2 linked regions of the Stegostoma tigrinum genome follow. The protein of the gene in region 2 interacts with the protein of the main gene of each other region in a biochemical or structural test. Links are inferred from orthologs where the notes say so. Each region holds a gene or a part of one and is shown on either strand. Other genes may lie near its edges. The genes, in order: grap2a and gab1.

Region 1 (9,632 bases), on a different chromosome or scaffold from region 2:
CGTCCTTCTTTTCAAGTCCCTCGATGGTGTCAGTCCCCTCCAACTTCTATAATTTCCTCCAACCCAATGACCTTTCGCTCTGCATTCCAGTTTCAATTCTTGACTTTAATTCCTCTACCGTTGGCGTCTGTGCTGTCAGCAAGCTGCAGCCCTATTTGACTGGAATCCCTTCCCTAAACTGCGATGCCTCTCAATTCCTTTTTCAAACGCTTCCGACAATCTGCTTAACCTGCTATCTCCTCATGTGGCTTTGCTGTCAAGTCATTGCCTTACTATATTCCTATGAAACACCCTGACATGTTCTTCTAAATTAAGGGTGCTACTAAAAGGGAAGCTGTTAAGTAATGCTGAGCAATTCTCATTCGGACTTAGGGGAAATAACACATGTCTTAAACTGGGATCTTGCAGCTTTCTGACTGACACAACCCCCAGCACCAGTCATGTTCAATACTGAACTCCATGTGGGATGTATTTGTATGATTTTTGTGCATTTGTGTGATTTACAATATTTGACCAAATCATGGCTTTGAGAAGGAGGTTTGTAATTGTTCATCATTGAATGTCCCTAATTAAATTGTCTTGATCACAAATGAGGAATGCTGAAGAAGGGATTGGGACAGTCCTATAGTACCTGCAGGGGAACGGGCCGTTTTTTAGGGTATTATCCATCGTGTACAAAAAATGCCCACAGGCCTCTTTCCGCATTGGAGAGAGACAATTGGTCACAGCCTGGCACCCTGAGATCGGCAGCTGCCACCCCAGTGGTTGCAATGTGGAACAACCAAGAACAAGATAGAAATTGCTGGAGAAATTCAGCAGATGCTGCCCGACTTGCTGGATTTCGCCGGCAATTTCTGGTTTTCCTTTGCTTCAGACGTCCAGTGACTGCAGTTCTTGTTTTCATTCCCAGCGCTAGGCAAGATTTCACAGAAATGTTATGGTGTAGCAGGGGGCCATTCGGCCCACCGTGTCTGCGCCACCTCTCTGAGCATTTGAACTTAGTGCCAGTCTCCTGCCTTTACCCTGTAACCCTGCACGCTGTTTCTGTTCAAATAACCGTCCCATGTCTTCCTGAATTCCTCAACTGAACTGCTCCACCACACTCAAAGGTAACGCATGTCAAACCCAGACCATTCACTGTGTGAGAAAGTTCCTTCTCACCTTTCAACTGCTTCCTTTGCAGATCAGTTTAAAACTGTGCTCTCCAGCTCCCAAAACCATCCACAAGTAGAAACAGACTCTCCCCATCCACCCAGTCCAGATTCGCATCCCCCACCATGATGCTGAACACACCTACAACACTTCCTCCTAGCCCTCCTCTCTCCGAGCAAAACAGTCCCGACTCCTCCAATCTGTCCTCGTGGCGAACCCCTGGGACCACTCTCATCAACTCCTTCTGATCTGTCTCCATCACATCCTTCCTATAATGTGAACTGTACATAACATTGTAGATCTAACCAGTTCCCTTAACAAATTAAGCGTAATCTCCCTGCTCCATGTCCCTATTAATGAAGCTTACTGTATGCCTTGTTAAGAGCTCTATTTGACCTCTACAGGGAAAGAAACCAACAAGGATTGCAGGAAGAGGGTATATGAAACTGGAAAAGGTATATCTGGGGAAGGGATAGAAGGGGGCGAATGGAGGGAGAAAGAATAAGACAGAGAAACAATCCTCTAGAACTGAGAATTGTTATTCTCGGAAACATCACCTTCAGTAAAACTGAGGCAAAGTTGGACCTTCGGTCAGCAGATTGGGCAAAGTTTCACTTGTAATTAACATCATTAAATGTAAAGAAAGGAAACATGTCCTTTGTGAGTTGAGGACTTTGTGCACGAGAGAAAGTTGATTTTGATTGTTCGTGGGGACTGGGTTGTCTCTGTGAGGGGAGCAGCACACGCTGGGGTCTGTGCTCAGAGAGAAACAGAGCAAGACAATGCAGGGATGTACATTTCCTCTCTACATTCCCTGTGTTTCCGTGGCAGGGATAACGGTAGTCACCCTGCCGTGGATTTTTAGCAGGAGACCGTGGCCTCAGGCAACAGGATCGTTACTTTGCAAAGATTTAAGTTTTTTACAACTTAAAGATTTTTGTTTCTGCCTCTTTTGGAATATTATGATCATTTTAAGAAGCAATTAACACAAAGAGCTGAACATGTCGGCAAAATAACTGCATTGGGAAAAATCATGTTTCTCGTGTTCACTTGAATTACAGAAACCCTCAATGGTGGAAAGAGGCCGTTTGGCCCGTCAAAGCCTGTAACAACCCTCCAAATAACATCCCACCCAGACCTACTCCCCCACCCTACCCCCATAACCGTGCAAGTACTGTGGCTGACCCACCTAAGCTGCACAGCCACGGGGAAACTTACCCCGGCCAATCCACCCTAACCTCTGCATCTTTGGAGCCCCAGTGTTCTATCTCATGCACCGTAGCAGCCTTTCTGAAGTATCCACTTCTTCCTGAGTGGCACCAGAGATTTTGAATCATGTTGTGCATCAAACAACCTTCCCACCCAGTCCATCACCTCCACCACCACCTACCCCACCCCCCCCCAACCATCTCTCTCAAAAAGACCCACGTTTATGGGGTGTACAAGCACAACAGTGAGAAATGAGAAATTTTTACCATCAAAACCTCCCAACACTCCACCTCCACAGTGTCCTCTCTAACCCTGGGGTGGGGGCCGCTCCCAGATCCTCAAATCGTACCCCAGTTAATGGAAACAGCAGGGGGTGATGGCAGAGGATGGGGAGACAACATACACAAATAGGCGACGGGTCTTTCAGATTAAAGATCCCCAACTCAAAAACCTGCTCACGTTTTCATTTTGATGCCTTTCCACGAACGTAAGAATAGGTGGCGGGTAGGGAATGACTGGGATTATCCAGGTGACAGAAAACACCAATCCTAGGTTCTCCTCAGGTTTTTCACTGTGAGTGCATGGCCTGGTTTGAGAAGTTTGCTTATTTTCGTTTTGGCCAACTCTGCGACCGCAGGCAGGATGTCAGAGAAGTCAGCTCCACTGACAAAGTCAAAAATTCATCTCCACCTGAAGGATAACACAGTGAGGGAGCTGGAGGAACACGGTGAGGAAGCTGGAGGAACACAGTGAGGAAGCTGGAGGAACACGGTGAGGAAGCTGGAGGAACATGGCGAGGAAGCTGGAGGAACACAGTGAGGGAGCTGGAGGAACACAGTGAGGGAGCTGGAGGAACACGGTGAGGAAGCTGGAGGAACACAGTGAGGAAGCTGGAGGAACACGGTGAGGAAGCTGGAGGAACACGGTGAGGAAGCTGGAGGAACACAGTGAGGGAGCTGGAGGAACACTGTGAGGAAGCTGGAGGAACACGGTGAGGGAGCTGGAGGAACATGGTGAGGGAGCTGGAGGAACACGGTGAGGAAGCTGGAGGAACACGGTGAGGGAGCTGGAGGAACACGGTGAGGGAGCTGGAGGAACACAGTGAGGAAGCTGGAGGAACACGGTGAGGAAGCTGGAGGAACACAGTGAGGGAGCTGGAGGAACACGGTGTGGAAGCTGGAGGAACACAGTGAGGAAGCTTGAGGAACACGGTGTGGAAGCTGGAGGAACACAGTGAGGAAGCTGGAGGAACACGGTGAGGAAGCTGGAGGAACACGGTGAGGAAGCTGGAGGAACACAGTGATGAACCTGAAGAACACGGTGTGGGAGCTGGAGGAACACGGTGAGGAAGCTGGAGGAACACAGTGAGGAAGCTGGAGGAACACGGTGTGGAAGCTGGAGGAACACGGTGAGGTAGCTGGAGGAACACGGTGAGGGAGCTGGAGGAACACAGTGAGGAAGCTGGAGGAACACGGTGAGGGAGCTGGAGGAACACGGTGTGGAAGCTGGAGGAACACGGTGAGGAAGCTGGAGGAACACAGTGAGGAAGCTGGAGGAACACGGTGAGGAAGCTGGAGGAACACGGTGAGGGAGCTGGAGGAACACGGCGAGGAAGCTGGAGGAACACGACTGCTGCCTGGCCTGCTGTGTCCCTCCGGCTCCCCCACGCTGTGCTATCTCTAACGCCAGCATCTGTAGGTCTTACGATCTCTGAGTTACCTTAAGGATGTCGTCTTTCTTGAAGCTCAGCTCATCCTCTCCAGCTCCGTTGAACTCGTACTTGGCCACAGCTTCCATCCCCCCTGACTGGAGTCCCACTGGTCAGAGATGGACTGCAAAACCTTCAAGTGAGAAAACAGCAAGGAATCTCCTTTGGTTGAGCTGTTCTGGGAGTAGTGTGTGTCTGTGTGTACACTGCAGGAGATGATGGTTGGAGCGGGGCGGTGGGTTGGGAGGGAAGTGATAGAGCTGGGGGAGGAGACAGGGTGGGAGGGGGAGGGGGGAGTTGCAGAAGCATGAGTTACCTTTTCTCAACGACGTTCAAACTCTGGTTGGTGGAAGGTCCCGAATTTTCGTTGTTGTAAAAGCTGCCTTAATAAATTGGCAGGTAGAGAGAGATGTTTCTAGCGCAGCGCGACACCCCTCTCGTCTGCTGTTCGTCAGACTGTCGTTCAAATAAAATCGAAGCCAATTTCTTCTTGCGCTCCGGGAAAACCACAACCTAGAATTCTGCAAGGCGGGGTGGGGGGGGGCGGGGTGTTGTGTGTGTGTGGGACTGGGGGGTGTTGTGTGTGTGTGGGACTGGGGGGTGTTGTGTGCGTGTGGGACTGGGGGGTGTTGTGTGTGTGTGGGACGGGGGGGTGTTGTGTGTGTGTGGGACTGGGGGGTGTTGTGTGCGTGTGGGACGGGGGGGTGTTGTGTGCGTGTGGGACTGGGGGGTGTTGTGTGCGTGTGGGACGGGGGGGTGTTGTGTGCGTGTGGGACTGGGGGGTGTTGTGTGCGTGTGGGACGGGGGGGTGTTGTGTGCGTGTGGGACTGGGGGGTGTTGTGTGCGTGTGGGACGGGGGGGTGTTGTGTGTGTGTGGGACGGGGGGGTGTTGTGTGCGTGTGGGACGGGGGGGTGTTGTGTGCGTGTGGGACTGGGGGGTGTTGTGTGTGTGTGGGACGGGGGGGTGTTGTGTGCGTGTGGGACTGGGGGGTGTTGTGTGCGTGTGGGACTGGGGGGTGTTGTGTGTGTGTGGGACGGGGGGGTGTTGTGTGCGTGTGGGACGGGGGGGTGTTGTGTGCGTGTGGGACGGGGGGGTGTTGTGTGCGTGTGGGACTGGGGGGTGTTGTGGGGCTGGGGCGGGTGTTGTGTGTGTGTGGGACTGGGGGGTGTTGTGGGGCTGGGGCGGGTGTTGTGTGTGTGTGGGACTGGGGGGTGTTGTGTGTGTGTGGGACTGGGGGGTGTTGTGTGTGTGGGGCTGGGGCGGGTGTTGTGTGTGTGTGGGACTCGGGGGGGTGCTGTGTGTGGGGCTGGGGGGGTGTTGTGTGTGTGTGGAACTGGGGGGGTGTTGTGTGTGTGGGACTGGGGGGCTGTTGTGTGTGTGTGGGACTGGGGGGCTGTTGTGTGTGTGGGACTGGGGGGCTGTTGTGTGTGTGTGGGACTGGGGGGCTGTTGTGTGTGTGGGACTGGGGGGCTGTTGTGTGTGTGTGGGACTGGGGGGCTGTTGTGTGTGTGGGGCTGGGGGATGTTGTGTGTGTGGGCCGGAGGGGGGGGGACTCGAACAGCTTCTCTCCCTGCCGACACTCTCACACTAAAATGTTTCAAAGCAGGACTCACACAGGACTGGCCTGCACTGGGTCAAAACGGGGACTCTCCCCTTTGTCAACATGTGGAATTCCAGCCCCACTGTCAGAATCTGCTGCTCGGAAATCGGCTTCTTTTTCGATGGCAGGTTTTTTTGGTGCATTCAAAGTCCTGAGCGCAGCTGAGCTGCTTCCTGTGGCGCTGAGCATTGATGTGAGTTTCACATGTAAAGGAGGGCTGCGGGCAAAAATTGCACCGAAGAAAATTCATTTCAATTGCAAACTAATCGGTTCACTCAGACAAATATCACACTTTGGAGGGGAGTGTTTGCAGCAGAACTGGGACTGAAAGCTTTCAATTAAATGCTCCATATCTTTCTGGGTCAGTAATGTCCTTTAGGGAAGGAAACTGCCACCCTTACCCGGTCTGGCCTACTTGTGACTCCAGACCCACAGCAACGTGGTTGAATCTTAACTGCCCCCTGGACAATTAGGGATGGGTAACAAGTGCATATTTTGCCAGCAACACCTCTATCTCATGAAAGTCTGGCGGGAGGAAGGGCATGTGAGCTAAGCTTAGTTTCAATTCTGCTAAGTGTAGGTGCGTGAAGGGCAATCTTATTGAAGCACCAAAAATGATAACAAGGTAGACTAGATGGAGGCAAAAAGCAACTTCCTGCGTTTGGGACCAGCCCAGAAATAGATGTCATTGTTTCAAAATTAGAGCCATGACATAGCTGGAAATAATGCGTGAAATTAGGCCTCAATGTCCCCGAACTTGTCACTAAAATCCCAGTGAGGCCACCAAAGGTCAAATCTGCCTGACTGACTGTACCCAGGACAAAATCAATTCACACTAGGTTGCTTCAATACTTGTATTACAACACACTGGGGTAAGCCTACTGTACATTGAGTCCCACTATTTCCAGCATTGTGCCCAACGATAACTTTTTTAAAAGTCTGCACAGTTCCTCAATTTACCCAATTTTCAGACCCAGGTTGATAGAAAGCATGGACCAGGTTTCTGCACTGTACGAGAATTATCATTCATTACAAGTAACTTGACCAAGTAAACAGATATAAACTAATGCCATATAATACTACAAACTAAAACTCTAATTCCCTTATAACCTCTCTCTTAAAAATACAGACACACACACACACACATGCATGCACATTAAAAGACACACACACTAACACACACATGCGTGCACACACATATACACATGCACGCACATATACACACACACACACGCATATATTCACACACATGCACACATACACACACACAAACGTGCATGTGCATATACACAAACGTGCACGTGCGCTCACATACACAAACACGCACATACATACACGTGCACATGTACACACACTAACACACATTCACATACCAATGCATGTGCACATGCACATACACACAAACACACGTGCATATAAACACACACAAACGTGCGCAATACAAGCACAGACATGCACACACACACGTGCGCATATACACACACAAATGTGCACGCACATACACAAACACATGTGCACATGCATAGACAAACACACGTGCACACATACACATGCTGCAAACACATACATACATGCACAAACACGTGCAAGCACATACACAATCTCATATGCACACACACACAAGCATGCATGTGCACATACACACACAGTCAACACATGCACATACATAAACACACAAACACTCATGCACATACACACAAACACATGTGCACATACACAAACATGTGTGTGCACATACACACAAACGCGAGCACGCAAGCACATACACACAAATGTGTACAAGCACATATACAAACAACATGCACGTACACATACACACACTCAGAGACACAGACAGAAACACACATGCATGCACATATGAACACGCGTGCACACAAACACATGCACGTACATACACATACAGCCACACAAACACACATGCGCATCTATACACACACGCGTATGCATGATCACATACACATGCACACAAAAAACCTGTGGATACACACATAAACATGCACACACACACACATACACACACATATGCACCAACACACACACAAACATGCAGACATACACACACAAGCATGCAAACGCACTCATAAACACCCACGTGCGCACATACACATGCACGTGTGCACACAGACACATGCACGTGTGCACACATGCACAAACACGCTCACACATGCACATATCCACATACACACATGCGTGCATACAAACACACACATACATGTGCACATACACACACACATACACACACACATGCATGCGCACATACACACACACATGCACCTACACACACACAAATATGTGCATCTGCACATGCACACACAAACATGCATGTGCGTGCACATACATAAACACGCATGTGTGCACATATTCACACACATTCGCACACATACATACTCAGTGATGATTAAGACAGACCAAAGATGAACAGTTTAACACATATTATTGGTGGAAAAGAATATGGGTAGGGTAAGCAAAAATTCTAAAGGACTAAACTCCAGACCACAAGATGAAAATTCCTTTAATCTTTCACAGACTTTTTGGTTTTTACAATGGCATGTGCTGCCCCTCGATTCAATGGTTGATGAGGTGTGGTTTTAAGCTTTCTTGGGATTTTTGTCTCCTTCCCCATCCAAAGAGAAAGAGTATTTCATTTTATTCTCACACTGACTTCTTCCATTCGATTGGCACCAAAATGAAGGTCATACAAAAAAAAGTTTGAAACAGGACAAAGGAAACCTGGGAATGAATTTGCTGTGTGTGTGCGTGTGTCAGCACGTGTGTGTGCGCGCACGGTGGGGTGTTTTTCCATTAAGGAATACATAACTGCTTTAACTAGGGAAAATATTTCTGAAAATTCATCCACTCCCCCACTGAATGAAGAAAGAAAGAGAAGATGACTTTGATGGGATTGTAGTCTCAGCTCCCCAATAGTAAGAGAGAAATTGAGAAACAAATATGTAGGAGTCCTCAGGTATATGTATACTAAGGTTGGGGCAAAAACCGTTTGTAACCATAATGTTTAGATGTGCTGTTGGGATGTTAAGCCGTACCAGGCTATGGCCCAACTGCTAGAAAATGGGATTAAGCTATTAGGAGTTTATGTTTGACCAGGACAAACCTGATGGACTGAAGGGTCTCATCCTGTACTGTAGAACCCGATGACTCTTAATAAATGGCAATGGAAACTATAATAATGGAAGGAGGAATAGATTTAAGTAAGGAATCTAGAAATCTAGACACAGGGGATCAGTGGTTAGCACCAGGGACCCGTGTTCAACTACACACTCGGGTGACTGTCTGTGCGGAGTTTGCACATTCTCCCCGTGTCTGCGTGGGTTTCCACCCGGTGCTCCAGTTGCTTCCCACAGTCCAAAGATGTGCAGGCTATGGTGGATTGGCCATGGGAAATTATCCTGTAGTGCTCAAGGATGTGTAGATTAGCGATGCTAAATGCAGAATTGTAGGGTGGGGGAGCTGGGTCTGGGTGTGATGTTCTTCAGAGGGTCGGTGTGGACTCAATGGGCTGAATGGCCTCTTTCCATACCGTAAGGATTCTGTAACTCTATTCTAATAACTGTGGGGTCAAGGTTCCCTCTAATTATTTTTTCTTCCACCCCCAACTTGTGAGATCCGTGCACAGTGCAAGCTTCCAAAAGTGAAAGCTCACACGCAGGGACTTCCCAGTGGCTGTGCAACTTACACAGATGGGGATACAAAGCAGTTTAAGTGCTCAGGGCAGGATACAAAGGGATGATGAGGACTCCACAGTCAAATGGCCCATTGCCAAGGTTCGCAGTTGGTCTGAGGGGTGTCATAAATAACCATCTGAGGCATGTGAGTGTTTCATAGAAAAAAAACCCACAGTAAGAGAGAGAGAGAAGAGAAGCAACTCAGTAACCACTCTAAGAAGGTTCAAGGGAACAACTCCTTTCCCCATCCTTTGAAGCGGTGAAAGAAGTGTGACCTGG
Region 2 (10,007 bases):
TTATATTTAAAAAGTGTATCTCTCAGATGTTATTGTTGTGGTTATGGTACTGTATTTAAAAATCTGCAGGTTAGGTTCGAATGGCACCAAGGTAAACTTAAATTTTAATTCAGAAAATGTGCAAAATTTATTGACTTGCACATTACTGTGTCAGTGATTAGGAACAGCCTTCCTTCTTCCATACCAATAGTAACATTTTAAAAATAATACTAATATTGTATTAGAGAGATAGTAGGAACTGCCAATGCTGGAGAATCTGAGACAACACTGTGTGAAGCAGAAGAGAAATCATTTCTGAAGAAGGGTCTCGACCCAAAACATCAACTTTCCTGCTCCTCTGATGCTGCTTGGCCTGCTGTGTTCATCCAGCTTCATACTGTGTTGTCACAAAATATAAAGTTATTTTGTTTCTATTCATGCCACAAATCATTACTGTATATTGGTGCACAAAATCAATTCTCCATATGATAGGAAATAAAAAGAGGAAGCATCTCCTGCAATTTCTACATGATTAAAAGATCTCTAATGTTGTTCCTACATTGGATCTTGCCCTTTCCTGATTTTCTTTGACTCAGCTTTGGAAGCAAAGCCTTCAAAAAGGTTTGGTCCAAGGTTCTGGGATTCATTCCTGCATTCTATCTGCTTCCTTTATGATGCTCCATAATGTCTACCTCTGACCAAGCTATGGGCCAGCTGTTCACTAAGAAATTTTGTCTGATAATATCCTTATAAAAACATTTAAGCTTTTCGCTACATTAAATGCAATCTGTGGCTGTTTGCTGCGAGAAGTCAGTAGCATGCTGGAGGGAGGAAGAAAAAGAATGCAAATAGGTTAGATTGCTTGTATTAAATTTGTAGAATTAAATAAAGGGGTTAGCTTAGGAGTGTTATCAATGTCTCATCATCAAATCAGAGTCGGATCAAGTTTCACTACAAACATATCTGTACACAATCAGTAGTGACATATCAGAATGGGACAAACAGAACATGACAGTGCAACACATTATCTTTTGGGTGAGCCTTTAAACTAAGGTGCCATTCACCTATCAAGGTAAATACAGAAAATCCTACAACACTATTTAAACAGCAAGTGTGTACTCCTGAGAACCTAGCCAACATTTATCCTGGAGTCAATACAAATGTGATTATTTATTTCATTCATGCTTGAATCTTTGTTGTGCACAGGTTGGCTACCATGTTTGCCTATAAAATAGGTGTCTGTGCTTCAAAAACTAATTTATTGGCTGTGAAATGCTTTATTGCAGTCTGAAAATGTGAACGATTCCACTCCTATGTCTTATATAGCATACACTGAAGTTCTTCTTTAGTTGAGGAGCGTGATAAGAACTTCAATTTTTTTTCCTCCTTTCTCTGGCATGATTACAAATAGGAATTGAATAATTTAACTCAAACCTACATAGCAATAAACTTGTACTTGCACTTCCTCCAGGTGCAAAAACATTGCTGCAAACAAACATTGTCACAAACCAACATTGAGATAAATGACAAAGTCCTATTCTTAATTATTATAGATGTAAGATATTACAATGGGGAACACAGAACTGACACTTGATCAGAGTAAAAACTGCGCATATCACACTCACATTCACTCTACATTTTTGTTTAGACAGGCTGACAACAGAAGCTTGCTCTATATGCAATACAGAGTCACTGACTAATGCCATTACTTGCCACATTTTATGTCAGAAATCCTATTGTCTTTGCATATCCTTTTCTGTAGAACTAAATAAGTAACAGAAAGCAATATTCATTTCTGAATACTTCAAATTAACAGTTTCAAAAAAGTTACAAGGATCCATTCAATTACATAGCAAAACATTTACTGCTTTTACCAAACTGAATATTCCCTTCACAGAGTTAGTTTACAAGTAGTAAAGAAAATCTTACAAGTTTACTAAAAACAAAAGCTCAGACTCAGGATGATAAAACTGATTAAACCACGTGAAGGAAGGTTTATGATGGGATATTGGTAAAATCCCTGAGAAAAATTCATATATTGCCACAGAACACGTCTTTAAAAGTATCTCAAACAAAAATGAATTGTTTCAAATGTACTAAGTCACAACTATTTCAGATCACCACGATACTAGTCTTTAAGACTACCTCAAAGTTATTCTTTTACCCAAGTAAAAGTAGGCTCCACAAAATTTTAAAAAGTTCAAAGATCCTTCCATTGACAATTATTTTCTCAAGCTGCAGTAAATAATTAGCCCACTCGTTCTTTTAAATCTACTGGCTGAAGTATGAAAAAGTTTGCACTGTTAAATGTTGTAAATAAATTACATACTACCCAGCAATAAAACCATAGCCACTCATCATGTTAGCTTTTGGTGGCCTAATTCTGAGAAATATGTCCGGTGAAAAGCCCCGCTATTGCCACCTGAACGAATGGAAAACATTTTAACTTGCTTCAAGCCGCCAGACAACATGCTTCAATTCCACGACGTGCAGCACTAAACAAAACCTGGGCCGAGAGACATGGGACATCACAAGATATTTCCACGCATTATTAAACACATAGTTCATCCTTCCACGTCGCTTGGCATTGCACCTGCATTAGAAGACATGAACACCCATTCAACCTCAAGTGTACGCAGAGCAGCAGCCAAGTTAATGGGTGTGTCCCGTATTGGAAACTTGCTTTCTGACAGTGTGCGATTCAGCTACCGGCCCTTCAAAGCTCTCACTGCTCAACACACAGATCACTCTAGTTTTCAGCCATGTGTGACTGCAAACCCATGAAAAGATTATAAACATCAGAACATATTCACAGTAGACAAAGGACTCCATTGCTTTTCGAAAGACAGATCTACAAACGTTGAAAATCTGAAATAAACTATTAGAAAGACCGTATCTATGTTGGCCACAACTCAAGTGGACTTTTCACTAAAAAAAGTCACGCACTAATTCCAAACAGTTCTAATTTGCATATTAACAAAATTAAAAAGTGTATGGGGCAATTGCCAGCAGTTACTTTGTAACTACTGCATTCTTGAGTGCGAGCATTATATTGTGCCGAGAGGAATCAACCACTTTTTTTGAATGATAAATTAAGTTTTGTATAGGTAAACAACGTTTACAACTCGGTTCGCTTACAGCAGTGCCGCCGTATTTGAATTTGCAAAACGAAAACACTTTCTCATGTATTTAAAAAAAAACTTACGTAACGTCTCAACTTTTTCTCCGGTGGAGACTTCCTCAGCCAGCCGTTGTAGACGATATCGCCGCCACTCATCTTTCTTGCTCACGATGGAAGGGCTGTGAAGACAAACCAGGATCGGCTTTCTCAGACCCAACCCAACGAAATATGAATCAACTTTCCCAGCACAGACCAGGTACTCCTTTCTCTCTATCACGATTCCACTGTTTAAACAAACTGAAAAAAAAGGAGCAGCCGTGCTCGGGGTGATTGATGGTGGGACAGATTGGGTTGTTGTGTGTGGACTCTGACTCGTCCGCCTTGTCCAGCGATGTCCGGCTCGGCCACTCTCGCGCCGCGATTCGCGGGAATGATTGACAGCTCGGCTGTCCTGGGGTCCGCAGACTTCAACTAAAACTCACCGACTGCAACCGATCCAACTATTCTGTGACGTTCCCGACGTGAGCTGACGTGATCCAGTGTGAGTTTATATCTGTGTGTGTGTTTGTGTGTGTGTGTGTGTTGGGGGGGTGAGGGCGGAGAAATTTGCAATTGAATTGTGGGATTTGTAGTTTCAAAACCCTCCCAGCTGCTCTTTTTTTCTCTCCCAGCACGTAGCACAATCTTTGTTCCCAGTGATTTCTCTTGATGCTCTCCCCATCCTGCTGGAATGGGAAGGTAGTCCTACAGGATGGAAACCGCCTGCTGTAGTGCACAGGGAAGGTCACGGCCGCGTAACTCCAATGCAAACTGTTGGGAGATTGCAATGTGGCAGACTTGGTGCCTGCATTGGTGACTGGTATGTGTTGAGCAGGGTTAAAAACTGGGGATGTATCAGTGATAATGGGAACTGCAGATGCTGGAGAATCCAAGATAACAAAGTGTGAAGCTGGATGAACACAGCAGGCCAAGCAGCATCTCAGAAGCACAAAAGCTTTTGTGCTCCTGAGATGCTGCTTGGCCTCCTGTGTTCATCCAGCTTCATACTTTGTTATCTTAAATACTGGTGACCCTGATTTATGAAAACTGGCTTTCCCCGTCAACGCCGAGAGACCCCACTCCCTCCCCTCTCCTTCCAGCTACCAGGAGGGTCAGAAAACTACATTTCCCAGCAGTGGTGTGAATCCCTGCGTCTTATTCTGGGAATCATCCCGTTTCACAGCCCCTGTGGTTGGGGGCGGGGAGGTATCGACGACAGCCGGGGAAAACTCACTGGTGGAACCCAGGTGTAATAATTCAGTAAATCTGACCAGAATCTGGCTTCTGATGGTGTCATTGTCGATTAGATTCAGCATAGATTCAGCACTCCTCGTTTGATATCTTAAATTTATAACATCGTTCTTCCGCGTTTTTGTAAAATACGTTTTTAACTTTTTTAACAAAAAATGTTTTGGCAGAAGTACAGGGTTGCAGTGGCAGTCATTTCCATTATGGAGTTGTCATGAGTAAAATCATTATGCCGGCTGGCAGAGGAATCTGTGGAATGCGGGCAGAAAAAAAAGTTCCAGATTCCTGGAGCTCACTTGAAGGTGAAACTTCCTCCGAGTTTGCGTGGAGTGGAAGTTAGAAGAACGCAGAGTAATCACGGTGATGGAAGGCCCTCCTAGCTTATGCGTGCAGCAAACAACCAACATGAGTCCCCCACCCTGTTCACATTGAAAATTGTATAACCACCTCCTGCAACACCCACCCCAAACAAACAAGGGGGACTGGTTTGTCTAGTTCAATAGTTCTTTTCCCAAGCTGATGCCGCACTTCAAGAAAAAAAATTAAACTTTATTCATATATATATTTACGTACAACCGGATGATCTACCAGGATGAAAACAGTTCTGCTGGGGCTTTCAAAGGCGAAATCATTGTGTCTTTGTTAGTCAGAGTGCGCACCTCATGCACTGAAATGAGTAAATAGGAGTGCGTGCTTCCAAACAACATTGCCCTACTGCGCGATCGATTTTTGCAGTTAAATTTTTTCGAACGCGCCCACTTAAAATAATGTTGCAACGAACTGTGATTTGAGATGTTTTCTTCAGCTGGGATGTACTGATGACTTAATCGTGGAACTGGTGGGGAAGGTCTGCTGAGTCAGACAATGCAAAGGAGCTGAATTGACATGTAAGGTAGAATTAAAAGAATGCTGAAGCATCCTTTTGGTTAATGGCGACCTGGACTGATGTGAATCCAACTCCTGGTCACGGCCAAATTCAATAATGTGGTCACTCCTACATCAGGGCATAACATTATTATTCAATCTTCAAATGGAGAAAAAGAAGTTTTTATATCAAAAATTAATATTATTAAATATTTTGGAGAATATTACAAGGTTTTGTATTACTGGTATATAATTTTAAAATTTGTGTAAATTAATATAGTTAATTGTAGCAATGAACATAGATAGAAAGAATATGTTAACTAGTACCATATCAATTATAAACAAATTATTTTTGCATCGTTGTGCAAATAAATAATTGGAATGGACATATAGATTATGGTGTGCATGTTTGGGATTCCTGCTTTTAGCCTGACTCAATATTGTGTTTATCAAGGTGAGGGATATCAAGTCGAGAAAATCTTCAAAAGGTTTAAGCTGAATAAACATGATGTGTCAGTAGGGCTCCTTTGCACTTATGTGCAGAAGGTAGACAGTAAGAGTTAGTGTGTCATTTCCAGGTTGGAAATGCAAAACAAATAGAGTGCCAAAAGAGCCTTAAGTATTTACCAAGATAATAAAATGTGAGGCTGGATGAACAGAGCAGGCCAAGCAGCATCTCAGGAGCACAAAAGCTGACGTTTCGGGCCTAGACCCTTCATCAGAGAGAGGGATGGGGAGAGGGAACTGGAATAAATAGGGAGAGAGGGGGAGGCGGACCGAAGATGGAGAGTAAAGAAGATTGTCTCTCTCCACCTATCTTCTTTACTCTCCATCTTCGGTCCGCCTCCCCCTCTCTCCCTATTTATTCCAGTTCCCTCTCCCCATCCCCCTCTCTGATGAAGGGTCTAGGCCCGAAACGTCAGCTTTTGTGCTCCTGAGATGCTGCTTGGCCTGCTCTGTTCATCCAGCCTCACATTTTATTATCTTGGAATTCTCCAGCATCTGCAGTTCCCATTATCTCTTAAGTATTTACCATCTATATTTATGATTTGGAAGAGGGGACAGAATATAATGCATCTAAAATTGCTGATGATACAGGTGGGAAGACATGTACAGTAAAGACAGGAATCTGCCAGGGATATAGATAGGTTGAGTGAATTGACAAAAAATTGGCTGATGGAGTTTAAAGTGAGGTCATGCACGTTTGTATGAAAAAAGGCAGACTATTAAATGAAGAGAAATACCAGAAAAGCGCAACGGAGATGAACAGGTAATTTACTTCATCTTCACGATAGAGGATATATGTAAACTTCAAAAACAATGATAAATCAGGAGTTGAATAAATGGAGATTTCAGGGAAATCTCAATCACCAGACATGTGGTGCTAAGTAAAAGGTTGGACCTGTGGATTGACAAGTTCTTGGGATCTAATGAACTTTATTTTGAGTCTTGAAAAATGTCATGAGTGAGATAGATCTAATTTTCTGAAAATCCCTTTATTGAGGGATGGTTGTGTTAGTTTGAAAGATAGCGAATGTAGCTCATTTATTGAAAAAGGAAGATGGAAAGAATGAAACTACAGACCAGTTAGGTTAATGTTTGTCATGGGGAAATTGTTGGATTTTTTAAAAAGTATTAGAGCAAGTCACATGAGTAAGTTAAATGTAATCAAGCAAAGTAGCATGGCTTTGTGACAGAAAAATCAGGTTTGACCAATCTATTAAAGTTCTTTGAAGACGTGATATGAGTAACAGAGAACCAGTGGATATACTGTACTTAGGTTTCCAGAAGGCATTTATTAAGATGTCACATTGAAGATTATCTCAGAAAGTAAAAGCTCAGGGTGCAGAGGGTATCATATTGACATGAATAGAATATTGCCTGGCTAACAAGAAGCAGAGATTAGGCACATAAATGAGTCTTTGTCAGGTGAGCAAGATATAATGAGTGGTGTGCTTTAGGGATCACTATGGAGATCTCAACTGTTTTACAGTTCAGATAAATTACATCATTGAAGTGATTGGAGGTCTGGTTGACCGATTTACTGATGACACAAAGATAGGTAGGAAAGTAAGTTGTGAAGTGACAGAAGTTAGGTGTATGGGCAAAGATGCAGCAAATGGAGTGTAAAGTGCAAAAATGTGAAACAGTCCATTTTAGTGGAAAGAATAAGAAAAGTTATCTAAATAGTGAGAAATTGCAGAGTTATGAGATGCAGAGTGATCAAAGTGTACCCAGAGTTGCATGATAAAATGAACGATAAAAGCTTATAATAGAGGTAAACCAAGTTATTGGGAAAACTAATAGAGTTTTATCATTTATCACAAATGGAATTGAATACAAAAGTAGAGAGATAATGCTTCATTTATACAAGACATCTGGAGTACTGTATACAGTATTGATTACCTTATTTAAGGAGGCACACAAGAGCATTAGGATTAGTTCAGAGAAGATTTATTCGACTAATAACTGGAAAGAGTGCAGTGTCTTAAGAGGAAAGATTGGACAGGCTAGGCTTGTATCTACAGAGTTCAAAAGAGTAAAAGGTAACTTGATTGAGACCTAGGGGTTCAAGCACATAGTTCATTGCAAGTTGCATCATAGGTGGACAAGGTGATTAAGAAGATGTTTAGCAAGCTTGTCTTCATTGCTCAGACCATTGAGTATAGGAGTTATATGAGATCATGTTGAGGTTGTACAGATTGATGAGGCCACTGTTACAGTACTATGTACAGTTCTGGGTGCCTTGCCATAGGAAAGATATTATTACATTTGAGAGGATTCAGAAAAGATTTGCAAGGATGTTGCCAAGACTGAAGGGTTTAAGTTATTAGGAGAGGCTGGATAGGCTGGGAATTTTTTCACTAGCGGTAGGAGAGTGAGGAGTGACCATATAGAGGTTTGTAACATCATGAGAGGCATATGAGATAATGTGAATAGGAAAGGTCTTTTCTCTAGGGTGGGGGAATTCAGATCAAGAGGGCATATTTTAAGGTGAGAAGAGAGAGATTTAAAAGAGACCTGAAGGGCAACCTTTTTGCACAGCGGATGGTTTGTATGTGGAATGAACTACCAGAGGAAGTGGTGATGCAGGTGCAATAACAACATTTAAAAGACATTTGGATAGGTACATGAATTGAAGAGATTTATAGGCACATGGGCCAAAAGCATGCAATTGGGAGTAATTTACCGTGGGAAACTTGGTTGGCATGGACAAGATAGACCAAAGGATCTGTTTCCATGCTGTATGCTTCTATGACTCTGTGCAAGACCCTGAGGAAGCTTGACAGTGAAAATGTTGAGAGAGTGTTTCTTTTGGGAGAATTTACGTTCAGGAAGTCACTGGTTAAACATCAGAGATCTCCAATTTAGGGCTGAATTTAGGTGTAAATCTGGTGAAGTAACAAAATAGGACTGTTTGCATGTCTAATAGCAGAAACAGCATGCATTACGCAGGGATAGTGGGAACTGCAGATGCTGGAGAATCCAAGATAATAAAATGTGAGGCTGGATGAACACAGCAGGCCAAGCAGCATCTCAGGAGCACAAAAGCTGACGTTTCGGGCCTAGACCCTTCATCAGAGAGGATTACGCAGGGCTAGGTGATCCCGCAAGGAAAGAATCAGGTCTAAGCTCTGCAGTCCTGTCACATAGAGCAATGAATGATTGTGGACTATCAAACAGCTATTAAGAGGGGGAGGAAGCTTTACAAACATCCCATCATGGGGAGTCTAGCACATCAGTGCAAAGGATAAGGCAGAAGTATTTGCAAGTAACTTCAGCTAGAAGTGCCGACCAGATGATCCACCTCAATAAAATAAAACAAAGAACTGCAGATGCTGGAAATCTAAAACACAAACAGAATGGGCTGGAGAAGCTCAGAAAGTCTGGCAGCGTCTGTGGAGAGAAAAACAGTCCTCTGCACAGTTGCTACGAGACCTGCTGAGATTTTCCAGCACTTCCTGTTTTATAATCTCAGTGTACATCTGAGATTACTAGCATTTGACTACTGGACACTGCAAAGGCTATGGACCATGACGCTATTTAATCAATGAAATTAAAGATATCTGCTTCAGAACTAGTTGCACCATTAGCCAAGCTATTGAAACCATAAGACCTTAAGAAATATGAACAGGAATAACCCTTCAGACCCTTGATCCTGTATCTGAAACATGAATCCTCAAAAAAAAAAGAAACATCATTTGTGTTATGAACCTGTTTGTGTTTTGTTTGAGGATTCATGTTTCCATAATGTGGATAGTGATTTATTTGGAGTGCTGAAGAGACACCTGTCATGTCTTTTTTTTAAAACAGGTCATTCTTTGAAGATGCTTCTTAAAAGCCACATGGCTTAAGCTAATTGCTGGGATTTGTTTTTGTGGAATCATATGCCTGGGTTTACGGTCGGGGTGCAAGGTGGCAAGGGGAAAGGTAAGTGAAGCAGTGTTAAGGATAGGTTAGAATGGGCAGAGTTTATCAGGTCCTGTAGGTGTTGGCAAGTGGCGTCTCAGGTCCAGCAGAGGCAACCAGACGGTCACAATATTCATTGCACTGCTGCAGCTTCTGGTCAATGAGAACTATAACATCCCATTTTCTTGCCTGCTGCTGATCCTTCCTGTGCATTTGATACTTTTAAATTCAGTCATGAGATGAGGGTGTTGCTGGCCAGGCAGCATTTATTGCCCATCCCTAATTGTCCAGACAACAGTTAAGAGTCATCCACATTACAGTGGATCTGAAATTGCATGTAGGCCAG

Evidence for each region.
Region 1: the proteins of gab1 (region 2) and grap2a form a complex in vitro, tested with the Homo sapiens proteins (2 studies listed by BioGRID and IntAct, with this or other methods). The link is inferred for Stegostoma tigrinum from reciprocal best matches to the Homo sapiens genes GAB1 and GRAP2.

Annotation. Positions count from the first base shown.
Region 1 is NC_081391.1:24,715,321-24,724,952, forward strand, and holds the start of grap2a (GRB2-related adapter protein 2a), read right to left. Parts: upstream 4,548-9,632; 5' UTR 4,386-4,547; intron 4,325-4,385; exon of another isoform or gene 4,203-4,324; 5' UTR 4,159-4,202; coding exon 4,081-4,158; intron 1-4,080. UniProt on the Homo sapiens protein: Interacts with SLP-76 to regulate NF-AT activation. Binds to tyrosine-phosphorylated shc.
Region 2 is NC_081354.1:29,129,858-29,139,864, reverse strand, and holds the start of gab1 (GRB2-associated-binding protein 1), read right to left. Parts: upstream 3,672-10,007; 5' UTR 3,257-3,671; coding exon 3,185-3,256; intron 2,603-3,184; exon of another isoform or gene 2,579-2,602; coding exon of another isoform or gene 2,573-2,578; intron 1-2,572. UniProt on the Homo sapiens protein: Adapter protein that plays a role in intracellular signaling cascades triggered by activated receptor-type kinases. Plays a role in FGFR1 signaling. Probably involved in signaling by the epidermal growth factor receptor (EGFR) and the insulin receptor (INSR).